2 linked regions of the Schizosaccharomyces pombe genome follow. The protein of the gene in region 1 interacts with the protein of each later gene in a pairwise test. Each region holds a gene or a part of one and is shown in the gene's direction. Other genes may lie near its edges.

What was found. The genes of interacting proteins can lie anywhere in the genome.
Region 2: the proteins of spo4 (region 1) and spo6 interact in a two-hybrid assay, tested with the Schizosaccharomyces pombe proteins (one study listed by BioGRID).

The regions. Positions count from the first base shown.
Region 1 is NC_003423.3:3,825,205-3,833,896, forward strand, and holds spo4 (serine/threonine protein kinase (DDK family) Spo4), read left to right. Parts: upstream 1-1,973; coding exon 1,974-2,967; exon of another isoform or gene 2,968-3,089; coding exon 3,090-3,257; exon of another isoform or gene 3,258-3,517; coding exon 3,518-3,645; 3' UTR 3,646-3,756; downstream 3,757-8,692. Other genes in the region: protein psg1, read right to left, coding at 400-869, 920-1,010; SBDS family protein Rtc3, read left to right, coding at 4,963-5,283; C2 domain protein Git1, read right to left, coding at 5,993-8,692. UniProt on the Schizosaccharomyces pombe protein: Required for the initiation of meiosis II and progression through anaphase II.
Region 2 is NC_003423.3:3,100,786-3,105,441, forward strand, and holds spo6 (Spo4-Spo6 kinase complex regulatory subunit Spo6), read left to right. Parts: upstream 1-2,311; 5' UTR 2,312-2,498; coding exon 2,499-2,963; exon of another isoform or gene 2,964-3,014; coding exon 3,015-3,147; exon of another isoform or gene 3,148-3,193; coding exon 3,194-3,915; exon of another isoform or gene 3,916-3,961; coding exon 3,962-4,066; 3' UTR 4,067-4,156; downstream 4,157-4,656. Other genes in the region: SPOM_SPBC1778.03C (NADH pyrophosphatase), read right to left, coding at 70-1,168, 1,349-1,380; guanyl-nucleotide exchange factor Lam2, read right to left, coding at 4,331-4,656. UniProt on the Schizosaccharomyces pombe protein: May act as a kinase regulator. Essential for progression of meiosis II and sporulation.

The DNA.
Region 1 (8,692 bases):
CTAAATTAAACAATAAAGTCTAGCCATCAGAACTAAAAAATGATGGCCTCATTATTACAATAAAGGAGCATGCGGTAGCGACAATTGGAAAAGTTGTGAGATAAGAATGCAAAACTACACACCCAAAGTGTCAATTTGGGTAAATCTAATAATGGTATTTTACATGAAAAGTACCTTAGATAAATAAACATGTGACCCAAAAGCTGTATTGGAAGCATGCGTGATTAAGGAACGAATAATGGAGTAAAGCGGACAGACAAGGAATGGTGAAAGAGGCCATTGAATTTAAAGTTAAGAAGCAATGCGTATTACCTTCCAATTAATAATGGACCATTTACTCTATAGAAACAGTTCTGATGAATGAGATAGTATATTTTTTGGCGCAGAAAAGTAGAAACGCTAATGCTTTCTATATGAAGACATTTCCAGCTCTTTCTCGTTTTTTAAAATCCTTCTTTCTCTCCTAGTTGCAAAATGAAGAAATAGAACGATCAGTATGCAACAGGATAAACCAACGGATAACCCAATTGCAAGTTTCTTGTCAATCGGGTTTACAGAAAATGCAGGGGAAACATCCACTACCATCTTCCAGTAAAACGTGTTCGCTAATAGGACCTGTGGACCCACATATACCGTGCTGGCGGTACCATTTTGAGGAACAGCAACAACTCGCGCAGTAATGTTGTCCATCTTCATAAGCCATTTCTTATCTATCTTTACCATCCAGTAAGTTTGGTTGGAAGGAATAACACCACTGCTCGTAATCAATGTGTTATTGGAGTCGGCATATTGCAAAGCAATTTCGACAAACTGTTCAGTGGGTTGTTTCCATTTGACAGCATAAGTAAATCCTCTAGCCCATCGAGAATCTTAAACAAAAGTCAGTTTTACAATACTAAAAATTAAATAAAAAACATACCTTCAGCAGGAGTGATGAACTCAAATTCAGCCCGAACAAGATTGATAAAAGTAAGGATTAAGAATAAAGCAGATCCTAGAAAGAATTTCATTTTGTGAACCCGAAGTTTTCTTTGTAGCTTAAAAAAAATAAAAAAACGGTCTTCTCTAACGTGAATCTTACAATGTCTTTAGCATAGACTCAGTGATACGGCAATTGTCTGCGGAAGATACATCAACAGCCAGGGACGGAAGTGTAAAATTAACTCGTACTCGTTAATGCGATATCATTGTATATATTCGAATGATACTGTTATCGTATTCAACAAAAAAAATTAGTAAATCCTTTTTAGAGTGGAAATATATGAGTTGAAAATGCTGTCATCAGAACCCAGATAACTTTACACTAATAAAATAAATTTCGGTTATTCGTTTGCCGTATCCGCATGGCTTAAAGTATAGAAAGAAAAAGCTATTTATAACAGTCTAGCATATAATTATGTTGGAAACGAACTGCAGTAGTAAGCAGTAAACAATAAACAAAAACCTTTAACAATGTACAAGAAATAAACAGAAAAAATAATAATATTAAATTAATTTAGTAAAGAATCAACCAAGTGTTGAAGAAATCTCAAAAATTGGTTATGACAGGTGTGCTGTTTATTGTTTACATACTAAAAAATTTTGATAAATTATGCTTTCGTTCTAAATAGGACTCTAAATGTTACCAGTTATAGAGCTAAAGTAAATTTTTTTATAAAGGAAATATATGTAATTTAAATTACTAGCTGGTCTAGTAATTTACTTTGACACTGTCTACCGTTTAATGATGATCATGGATTGAAAATTTGTATAAACAAATTGGAGTGCTTCATTGGCATCATTTGTTTACATTTTCATTTGCTTTGGGCCGATATAGCAAAGCTTAGGGAACAAAAAGTAAGTTTTGCTTAGAGGGAAATATTTGGGTTTGGCGAAGTAAACAAACAAACAAACTATTAATGAAAATTGTGCCTCATCTAACAGCCCGCACTTTACCAAACAAAAGGCGACTAAAATAAAAATTAAAACAGGAAATGCTTTCCATGCTATTACCTTTCGGAAATTCAGGTGTATACGCCAGTGATGTAGATCGAGAAGATCGACCAGAAATTGCTAAATTGGTGCAAGCATTCCCTACCATTGAAGAAGACTATCATGTGGTTAAGTTAGTAGGAGCAGGAAGTTTTAGCAGCGTCTTTAAAGCGGTGGATAGACATTTCGATAGCTACGATAACTCCTACTGGATATCATCTCAAATAGAAGATCAGATGCCCCATGACAAAACCAAGAGACCAAAAAACCATTTTGTTGCATTGAAAAGAATTTATGCCACCGTTCTTCCCTCAAGAATCCAAACTGAACTTGAGATGCTACATGAACTACGAGGCAGTGATTGTGTACTAAATATGATAACTGCTGTAAGACATCAAGATCAAGTGTTAATTGTACTACCGTTTATACAACATGCAGAGTTCCGGGACTTCTATATGAAATATTCTCTTCCAGAAATTGGTGCGTACTTAAGAGACCTCTTGAAAGGGTTGGCACATATAGATGCAAAGGGCATAATTCATCGAGATATCAAACCAGGTAACTTTGCTTGGAATCCTTACACCCAAAGGGGAGTCATACTTGACTTTGGATTAGCTCAATGGCAAGAGGCAGATGCACCTACAGAAAATTGCTGTGTCGATAAATTGAGAAAACTGAAGCAAGAAGGAAAATATTACGATTATTTTCCATTTGAGAAAACGATAGCAGATCCTCCAGAGGGTTACTTGCTACATGATCCAAGGCCTACAAAACGTGCTGACCGAGCCGGAACAAGAGGATTTCGAGCGCCTGAGGTATTGTTTCGATGCCAAAATCAAACATCCTCAATTGATGTGTGGTCAGTGGGAGTCATTTTGTTGTGTTTTTTAACACATCGATATCCTTTTTTCCGCTGTGAAGATGATATCGATGCAATCGTAGAATTAGCACATATCTTTGGAAGAAATGGCATGTCAAACTGCGCATTATTACATGGTAAGTAGTTATTAAACACTTGAGCGTAAAAGTTGAAAAAACGAAGAGAGAAATCGTTTTCTAACCAATGCTTCAAATCTTTTTGAGACAACTTTTGAGGTGCTAACTTGTATTTCTCTCAGGACAAATTTGGTCAGATAACATTCCGACTCTACTAGATCAAAAGCATAATTGGCTAGACCTAATTGCTAGCATTACGAAGAATGATGAGAATTTAATTTTAGAGACAAGCTCAGATTATCAAGTGGCTTTAGCCATTGACTTGTTGGACAAGTTATTAGAATTACATCGTACGTGCAAATCCCAAAAACAAAATACTAGGAAGTGGACTAGGAGGAAAATTCTTAAATGACAAAAAAAAACGCGAACCGAAATGGCCTTTTTTTTATTGTTTCATTCATGGATTGTCTTCTTTTATGATGCTTTTTAGGTTTTTTAACGAAGCCTGGGGCTATCCACTCTGAAACTAGTATCTTGATTTCCAAACTCCAGTTGTATAAAACAACATGGCAGGAATTAATTAAAAATTGAATGGCTAACAATTATCTAGCATCGAAACGAGTAAAGGCCAAAACAGCTCTTCAGCACGAATTCTTTAATGCATGTGGGGTTACCCGGTCAGGATTTGAGGCAGAAAACCCTTTTCGAAGTGATTTCCCTTCAACTGTAGAGCAGTAGACGTGTATCTGCCAAAGATGGAGAAATTTCCACACGTCGGAATTCCATAATATCATTCAAAGTTTTATTTATTGTATCGATTAACTCTTAATAATAATGAATGTCAAAGATAAAGATATTTGAAGTTGCGTGCGTTGCAAACATCTCAAAAACCAAAGCACGTGAGAAAAGCGAATGTGTAACGGTCAAATACTAAGTACAGTAAAAGGTTAACCAAATGAGCAGACTAAATACGAAATGTTTAGATAGGATGAGATGTCTCTGACAAACATTAACCTACTTTAATCGTTACAATGCCTGTAGCGTCAAGTCATTATAGTGGAATCAGCCAACAGATGTGTCAACGTCGTCGAATAAAGTACATAAGAAACAAATCAGCAATTAAAAGTACAATAACCTTAAACTAAGAAAAAGCCGAATTCAAAATAAGCCAATTTCCTTTCTTCATAATGATAAAAGATATTTTCCAAAATGTAAACAAAAGATCGCCGAGAAGTTTCGATCATGAAAAAAGTCAAACAGTCACGTACTCCATTATCCATCTCTTTCAAACTCTTACTGACGTGGGCCATTGCGTGAGTGAAATCACTAAACAGATGATTGCGTATTGTTTACAACGTCACTAAGTGTTGATTGCGCACCGGCTTTCTAATGTGTTATTGTAAATAACGATGTTTTGTTTTTCCAGTATACTCTTTAGCGATAATGTTATGAGAATAGTATGTACACTGACTATCATATTAAAGAGGTAGGTATTGACACCTCTTAAGCTACATGTGTAAAGAGATTGATTTGTGAGCGTATCAAAGGAAAAAATGAAGTGTAATACTGAATAAAAACTACTCCTTTATTTATCTTCCAAGAGATTGAATATATAGGGGAAACATTTTTTTCTTAACTTCACACTAAACCATCTCTAAACAAAAGTCGGGCACCAGAGAGAGTAATGAAGTAGTGTAGGACAAAAGGTGCTATCGTGCGTTAATTATTTTACTGTAAGGATTTAACACACGGTAAACAAACATATCGCCTGATGTCATTATTCGCTTCCCATAGTAATGATGTAAATATGTTATGACGCTGTTAGAGACTTACGTTTAGACATATTGATGGAAAATGCATTTATTCCACCCAAATCTAATACTATAAAAGGACTTCCTTTCCCAACCTAGTTGAGCATCGTTTCACACAAAAATAAGAATTGTTTGTTTGTATTTGGATAATTCTATAGTTTGTTCTCTCTTTTCACAAGACTATTAAATTTTATTTTTTTGCATTGTCCAACCGTCTATTAATATATTTATCAATACTTCCAAAATGTCTAGCTCTAAGGCCAACCAAACCCGTGTTTGTTACCAACCTGAGGATACTACCTTTATTATCATCGCCTCAAACGGTCCCGATGTCATGAGATGGCGCAAGGACAAGACTGTTCCCTTAACTGAGATCGTCGACTCTTTTCAAGTTTTTACAACTAGCAACAACAAAGGTAACGAAGGTCAATTAATTACTGCTTCCAAACAAGAACTTGAGAATACCTTTGGTACTAGCAAGGACGTTGATGTTGTCACTAAAATTTTGACTGACGGAAAAATCATTCCCCATCGTGAACATGGCAAGCACAAAGAAGTCAACTAAATGACTAATTCTACTAGTTGAGGCTAGTTATACCACCGACTTTAATGAGTTAAAACATATGGCCCACGTATATCTATTATAGGTATTCCCATTTGTGTTATATAATGATGCAATCTGACGAAGTACACAATGTCCGCATTCCAACATTACCTGAACTTCATGGCAATTTTTGGAATCCTTTCCCGTTCCTTTGGTAATTATTCGACTTTAATCTCCTATTGCCTCTGACATTGAGTCAAGGGTTAATGTTTGTGTCTTATCTAAGGGACTTAAAGGCATTTGTTATGTTTATGTATGATTATAACTTGCTTTTATGGTTTGGACGTTCTAAAGGCTGTGCGGTTATGTGTATGCTTTACGTTAAAAAAAATCTGTTTTTGTTTACATAGAAATGTATTTATGACTTTTGTTGTAACCTGTTGTTATGGTTGTATGGTGTGTTTCATTTTTGTAGAAAATGCGTAATCATCGTAAGCATAACTTAATTTTTAGCTTTCAGCATTATTCTTGTGTACAATGCAGTGTTATAAGCTAGCTGCTTAATAAATAATTTCAGCCTAGCAACTAATACACGCGACTTTATGATAGACGTATGACATACATATTTGTATATATATAAAATAAATTAGCAACTGTGCTCATTAAATTAAAAGTATCGTTCAGTAAATTAATAAACATTAATAGAAGTCTCCATCATTACCGTAGTTAACTAACTACTCACTCTTTTGACATCCTTAGACTTTACAAAATAATAGTCTTTAATAGCCATCACACTTTTGTACTCATCGGTATTCAAAAAATCAAATGGCGCAATATCTTGAAAATTCCGAAAAAAATCGTAAAACAATTGTAACCACGAATAGACCATTTTGAGTTCACGCTTATTCAACGGAATTCTCCTTAGGGTAGAATCTGTGACTGGAGGCACTAAAATATCTCGAAATGTCTCCAACAAGCCAAACCAAAGCCGCGAAAGCAAGTAAAAAAGAGGTTTCGGGAGCAAGTTTACATAAATCCAATAAAAAAAATCATCTAGCTCTGCCAACAATGACTGCTGCTCTTTTTCACACCGGGCCTGCAACTCGTCCATCTTTTCTTTAGTCTCAGCCTCTGCGTTATCATTTTCGTCTCCATCAAGATAACGCACGAAATCCATTAACCCACTATTTCTTAAGGAATTTCGAATAAATTTACTTAGAGAAATCATCAGTACATTTAGCATTTTTACTTCAGTAACGGTAAGGTATTCCATTTGGGCAAAGCAGTAATAATTTGGTGTTTCCCTCTTCAAGAGCACACGCAACCCAATCAAAATTTGTCCCTTATTAGTGATATCAAGCCAAACATCTTTTCCGTGGCCTTGCTTAAGTTTGTCGGGATCAACTTCTAGTGTTGCATGACCATATACAGTCTCCAATCCAGTGTGTATATTCCTCTGATATATAATTAATTTAAAACGCTTTACGTTTGTAATCTCCATCTGATACGTTTCTTTCCAATTGGGAACTAGCTCGTCATAAACATCTCGAGTATGTACACAAAATTCCGACTCAGGATCTTGGAGCAAAACAGAGAATGAATATGGGGCCTTTGGGGTTACCAAAAGATGGGCCATCTTAATGGAAATTATAACAGTCGCAGATGGTACTTCCATATCTTTAAAGTGCATTACCTTCTCTGTCAATATTTTATAATCAATCCTTTGATGCAGCATTTTTAACCAACCACTCACTAAACTGACGGTATTGATTAGGGTGAATGATTCCCTATACAGCTTCAAAAAATTTGGGTCCCCAGAATGTCTTTTAAAATGACTAGCTTTTTCTTTAAGCTGCTTCACCGGAAGATCAGGAACTAAAGGTTCTGCTTTCAATGGTATATCGGTACTATAAATAAACAATGCATACATGCTGTCAACGTAGTAATGAATGTAGTTTTCACTAAGTTTTCCAAGATGCAAATAAAAACGATTTGCATCTTTGGAACTTGGCCAATCTATTTTCTGCAGAAAATCATAACAGTCCTGCAAAGGAGCAAGAATCATTTTAGTTGAATCTGAATAAAATCTGGATCTCTTAGGAATGAAAGACTCTCTTAGGACTGTTTGCAACACATTAGCCAAGCCCTTGTCGATTATCAGCGACAAATTTCTATATACAAAGGTACCGCTAAAAGCTTCATAAATTTTCGGGTAGTCCGACGATAGGTATCCGGTGCAAGCCACTAAAGCGCGAGTTTGCTGGTATAGAGCATTGATCATTTCAAGGATATGATCTGGAATTTCTTTGCAATTTGAGTATACATAAGTTTTGGTAATGGTAGGTAATTTCTCAAGAAACAAGTGACATGTTGCTTCTGCAAAAAATGAGTGAACCGAAAGCTGGTTAAATATTCTAGCACTAAAATTCGACTTCAAGTTTTCGTAAGTGGCTTGCAATTGGACACCCACTAATCGAAGCCCTTCGAGATCTGATTCAGGCTTCCCAGTCAGTTCTTTCTTCAGTAGATTCTGGAAAAACTCCCCATATTTTTCTTTCAGTTTTTTAAAAAAGTCGGTGTATTGCTCTTCTAGTTCTTCAGGGGTTACCAGAAAAAGCGGACATGAAAAGATGTAATTATTAAGGATATCAAGGATAGCTCGGCAAGAATCACTAGAACGAGGACAGCTCCCCAATTCTTCTACTAAGTCATTTAAAGCTCTTCTATGATAAAACGCCAATAACTCCGAAAATTGGTGTTCGTCATGGACTGACCAAATCGCATAATCACAATCATGAATTAAAGAAAAGAAGTATTCAAAAATATCTCCAAGGTCCGAAAACTTTAGGAGTTTATCCTCAAGATAAGGCCAATATATACTTAAGACCACGCAACAACATGTTCCAGGATGAATACGCCAAATGTTGATGAAACTTGTAGTCATGCTCCATAAAACGTTGGTACCAATTTCATTACTTTGGCTATAACAATAACGTAAGCACAAATCCATTAAACGATAAAAGTATGGAGCACAATCATCAGGTCTCAAAGTATATTTATTGGTATTCAAAATCGCAGATAGAAGATCATTGTTTCCCTCGGCATATTGTAGTTCTTCAAAAAGGACAGCCAAATCAGGATAGTTTTGAAAAATTTTACTAATAGCATTTTCTGAGTAATAACACTCCCTTTCAACGTATTTGTCGAACACAGCTTTTGATGAGAAATCGTCACTTCTTAATACAGAATTGTCGTTAATTGCCCTATACTTTGATAACTGAAAATCAGCAACGGCGGCAAAGGATATATTTTCCGGAAGTAGATCCTCGACACTTAGAATGAAGGCATTGTAGTTAGGGATATTAAATACACCACATAAAACTTTTACATAGCTGATTAGCGAAAAGTCACCTAAAAGAAAAAGATGTTT
Region 2 (4,656 bases), 720 kb from region 1:
TCAACCTTTTTAGAAAATTCACTTATTATCTTTGGAAAAGTAGCTAAACTTCCATTTTTATAACTTCCTTTACATTTTAACTTGTGAATTTGTCCAATCATCATATGCAAATGCTTGGATCAAATTTCTAGCGATGGATAGTTTAGGGGGAAATAAAATTGGAGCAGGTCCATCCTTGGCATCCCATTCCAAAGAACGAAGAACTTCCTCTCGGGAAAAAAAACGCACATCCTCTAATTCTAAGTCTTTATCTCTCTGGATTTTAGCATTTTTTCGGGCAATTCCAAAACAAGCCAACATTAAACTTTGAGGAAAAGGCCAGGGTTGACTAGCATAATATAAAACCTTTTCTACGTCAACTCCAGATTCTTCATAGGTTTCACGGACAACGGCCTCTTCCAAGCTTTCCCCTGGCTCCAGAAAGCCTGCCAGACATGCATACAGTCCTTTCGGATGGCGCAAAGCTCTTCCAAGTAAAATGTGTTGCATATCATGAGACAATATAACCATTATTACGCATGGATCTGTCCGAGGATACTGGTAATTATTAATACCCTTCTTTGAAGGACAGTTTGAGTCGTCGTTCAATAAAACGTCACTGCAGACCAATTTTGTACCGCCCATAGTAGGTATGTTGCGTTTTCCACAACCCGGGCAAAATCTGTACCTTGAAATCCAGTCAAGAATAGAGCGTGCAAAAGCACAAGCACCAGAATCCGATGCGCTCAATTGATATTGTTCGGTGAAGATAGAGCGAAGATTAACGAAAGTACCTCCATTGTCTCGTATCGATTGCTGAAGTTCATCGATGCCAGTAATGTCAATGGCAAAAACGTTGTGTTGACTCCAATTATCTGTTGGTCCATTTCTTTCTTCGTTGCCCATGTAGACAAGGACAGGTAAACTTTCTCCTTTGGAAAATCGTTCAGCAATTTGTTTATCAGTGTGCTCAAAAGGGGAGAACGTGAAATATTTGGATATCTGAGGATATGAAAGAGTGACCAATTTATCGTCCTTTACGAGTAGAGCCGGATTTAAGTCACAAAAAGGAAGAAAGCGAGTGGTATGATCATAAAAGGCTTTATTTAAAAATTCTCGATTAGACCTAAGAAACGAAAGCCTATTTAATGAGCTTCCTGCGAAGAACTGAGAAGGGGCAGTCGGAAGCCTTGAAAAACGTTAGAAAACTCATTTTTTTAAGATTATTATATCAAAAATTGATTTTATGTGTTACATTGCACATGTATTAGCAAGGGTTGAGCGGTACGTTCCATGAGCATGCAAAACAGATGATATGAATTATCAAGTTTGAAGTAGCTTTAAATAGAACTAACAATTAACTACTTACTCAAAATGTCGAGCTATTTTGAAACCCTGCATACTTAAACTTGATTTCTGAAAGACGAAAAGAATATTAAACCTAACCAATTATTAAAACAGAATTTTGCAAATCTCTCGAATAAATTCTACAATTGTTTAACTGTTAAAATACGCAGAATAGAAAATGAAAGATGGAAATGAAGAACAGAGAGGACCAGAAGGAGGGTTATTTATGCACCAGCGTAATGGTAATGGTACAATTTATGAGTGAACTAAAAGTCGAACCCAAGTTGCAAGTAAAAATCTAATAAAATGATGTAAACGAACTCTCAGCTGGGAAAACCTTAAAGTTCCAAATGAAAAGGGATACTGAATATGAAAAAGTCTCCGTTAAATACGATTGCCATACAACTTCTCAAATGCCATGAAGTATTTAACGAATTTCGTTAAAAAAATAATTGTAAACATATTGGTATGTGTTTTCGCAATTATTAACGCCTTGGTGAGTCATAAAAGTATCATTGGAATAAAAATAGATTTTGTTTGTTTGTTTTTTTGGTTAATTCCTAAATGGACAGTTACGGGAATTGCTTTGAGTTGTTTTCGTTATGTTGACGATTAATTAACTACAAAGTTCTCACGTGTCAGTGTAACAATGTTACCTAGACTTTTAGGTACCTATTTATTTAAAATTGGGTCTATGTTTATTTTACAAGCTTGAATCAAGTAAATATATATTTTCTAATCATATGAATACTAAAAAAATTTTTACAAAGGAACCCAGCAAAACTATCAAATGGAGCCAAAGTAGCTTATTTATTTAGTATGAATGTGATACGCAACGCGACGTGTCGCGCGTTTAATTTACTGGCTTAATACGCGAGGCGAGGCTTTTGTTTACAAACAATACTAGGTGAATATGAGAAAATATTTGAGTAAACAAACAAAATCAAATTGTATATATATCCAGGATACTCCTCCAAACTTCCACAGAAAAAAAGATAGGTTTATCTTTTTACTTCTAGAGGAAAACCTGCATCTTGCTTACCGAGGCCATTGCTGAATATTAAAGCCAGACATAAGTAGGATTAACCAACAGGTGAATTCATCAGCCTCCCAAGGAATATATATACATACTTCTTCTTCCTAAAAATCTTTCCGAGTCAATCCGGAAGAGTATGGACTTCTATTCAGTGAAGTCTCAGCCGTTTGTTCGATCTCCTCTAGTCGACCAAAATCCCAGTATACAAAATATAAACGAAGAAGTAAAGAGAGATATTCAAAATCCTCTTAGCTATAAAACAGAAACTTCGGACAAAGAACTGTGTCAAACTGCAGCTTGCGCAACTTCATGCTCCGACTGGTACCCTCAACAACAAACGCACATGCCTCATCAAAATGCCTTTGACTCTGCTAAAGCCACAGCAAAGATGGCTCTCCCACCCACTGCTTTTTCAAACTACTGTGTAAAACCTTCCCTAACGCGAAACAAGGATATACCAAGAACCAGCATTCGAGTTTCCAAACTTCGTTACTGGCAAAGAGATTATCGATTGGCGTTTCCCAACTTTATATTTTACTTTGACAACGTTGATGAGGAAATCAAGCGTCGTGTTACGCAAAAGATTAATAATCTTGGAGCCGTAAGTAGTTCATGCAAGAACTTGCGCAGATCAAAACTAACACATATATAGAAAGTAGCAACATTATTTACTTTTGAAGTTACACATTTCATTACCACCAGGACTACCGACCCAGAAATGTGCCAGCCGAATGATGTACTTTACCTTTCGAAAACTGCCAATATGAAAATTTGGCTCCTGGACAGTAAGTCTTCTTAATATATCAGTGTAACCTTCGCTAACTTTCTTAGAACTATTGAACAGAATCCTCTTTACATTACTCAACTCTGATAGCCTGGTTAATACCTCAGCTTCGTGCTTGCAATCTCTCCTAGACGGTGAAAAAGTGTATGGTACATCAGACAAAGACTTTTACGTGCCAAGCAAAAACGTCGAGTACTTTCGTGAATACTTCCTCTGCATTAGAGATTTATCACAATACTATAAGCCAATTGCAGTACGAGAATGGGAGAAAACATTGGATTCTGGAGAGATCTTATGGCCAAGTCTTGCTATAACCGCACAAGGAAGATGTCCATTTAATACTGGTAGAAGAAGGGAGTTAAAAATCACAAAACATAACCATCCAGCTCACGAAATCAGAAAACAGCTCTTAAGTTGCACTAATCAAACTAACCAAAATAACGTTGTTAAAAATTCAGCGAGTGTGTTGGTGCGTCAAATCATGGGGGACTATAATATCACAGAATCAGCAGTTGATGGTGCAAAACAAATGCCGACAGAGTTTCCAAAGCCAGAAAACCTCTTACCGGTAGAGAAACGCGCCGCAATGTCTCCACTTAACCTTCTTGAACCTCGTTTAATAAACAAACAAAACACCTTGGCTAACCAAAGTCCTCGACAACCACCTAATGCCTTCGATGCAGATCCTCTAGCTCACAAGAAGGTGAAAATCGAAACAAAATCAGGATATTGTGAAAACTGCTGTGAGAGATACAAGGACTTGGAAAGGGTAAGTTAAACCAATCATAGCAAAAACAGCACTAACACATCGATAGCATTTGGGCGGAAAACATCATAGAAGATTTGCAGAGAAAGATGAAAATTTCCAGGGTTTAGATGATTTGTTTTTGCTAATCCGACGCCCAATTCGGACAAATTAACGTTAGTTCAAGTTTTAAGGATGTCTCAAAAATTCCAGAAAGCAAGTTCAAACATTCAAATAAACCGTAAAATCAATATATCCTTTGTCCAAATGAAAAATTCAAAATAATCTGCTAAAAGGGAAGAGAAAATTAACAATATAATGATGTGTTGTAGCATTCTTTTCTTAAACCAAGGTCAGGCTTAAGCCTATGATTGTAACAAACAATGCAAGTAAAGCTCCAAACATTATCGAGTTTAAATCAAAATAGATTTAAAATAAGTTAGACTGGTTTTCCAAGCGTGGAAAGCTCATTGGTGATACACTCTTTCAAAAGTTCAGATTTGATTTGCATCATTCCTTCCTTTGCGTTTTCTGTTCCAACAATCCCTAATAATAATGGGTCTTTGGAGTAAAGTTTATCTTCAGCCCCATCAATTGAAATGGCGGCTATTAATAATTTCCCCCTTTCAAACTCAATTATTGTTTCAAAAAGTACATCTCTTTGATGAGCAATCACGTCGTCTGTAGACTCCGCGACCAAAGGGCTAGGGTTGGTTGCAGTATAAAGTGAATACATGTTGCCTGCTAAAGCCGCAATAGATCTAA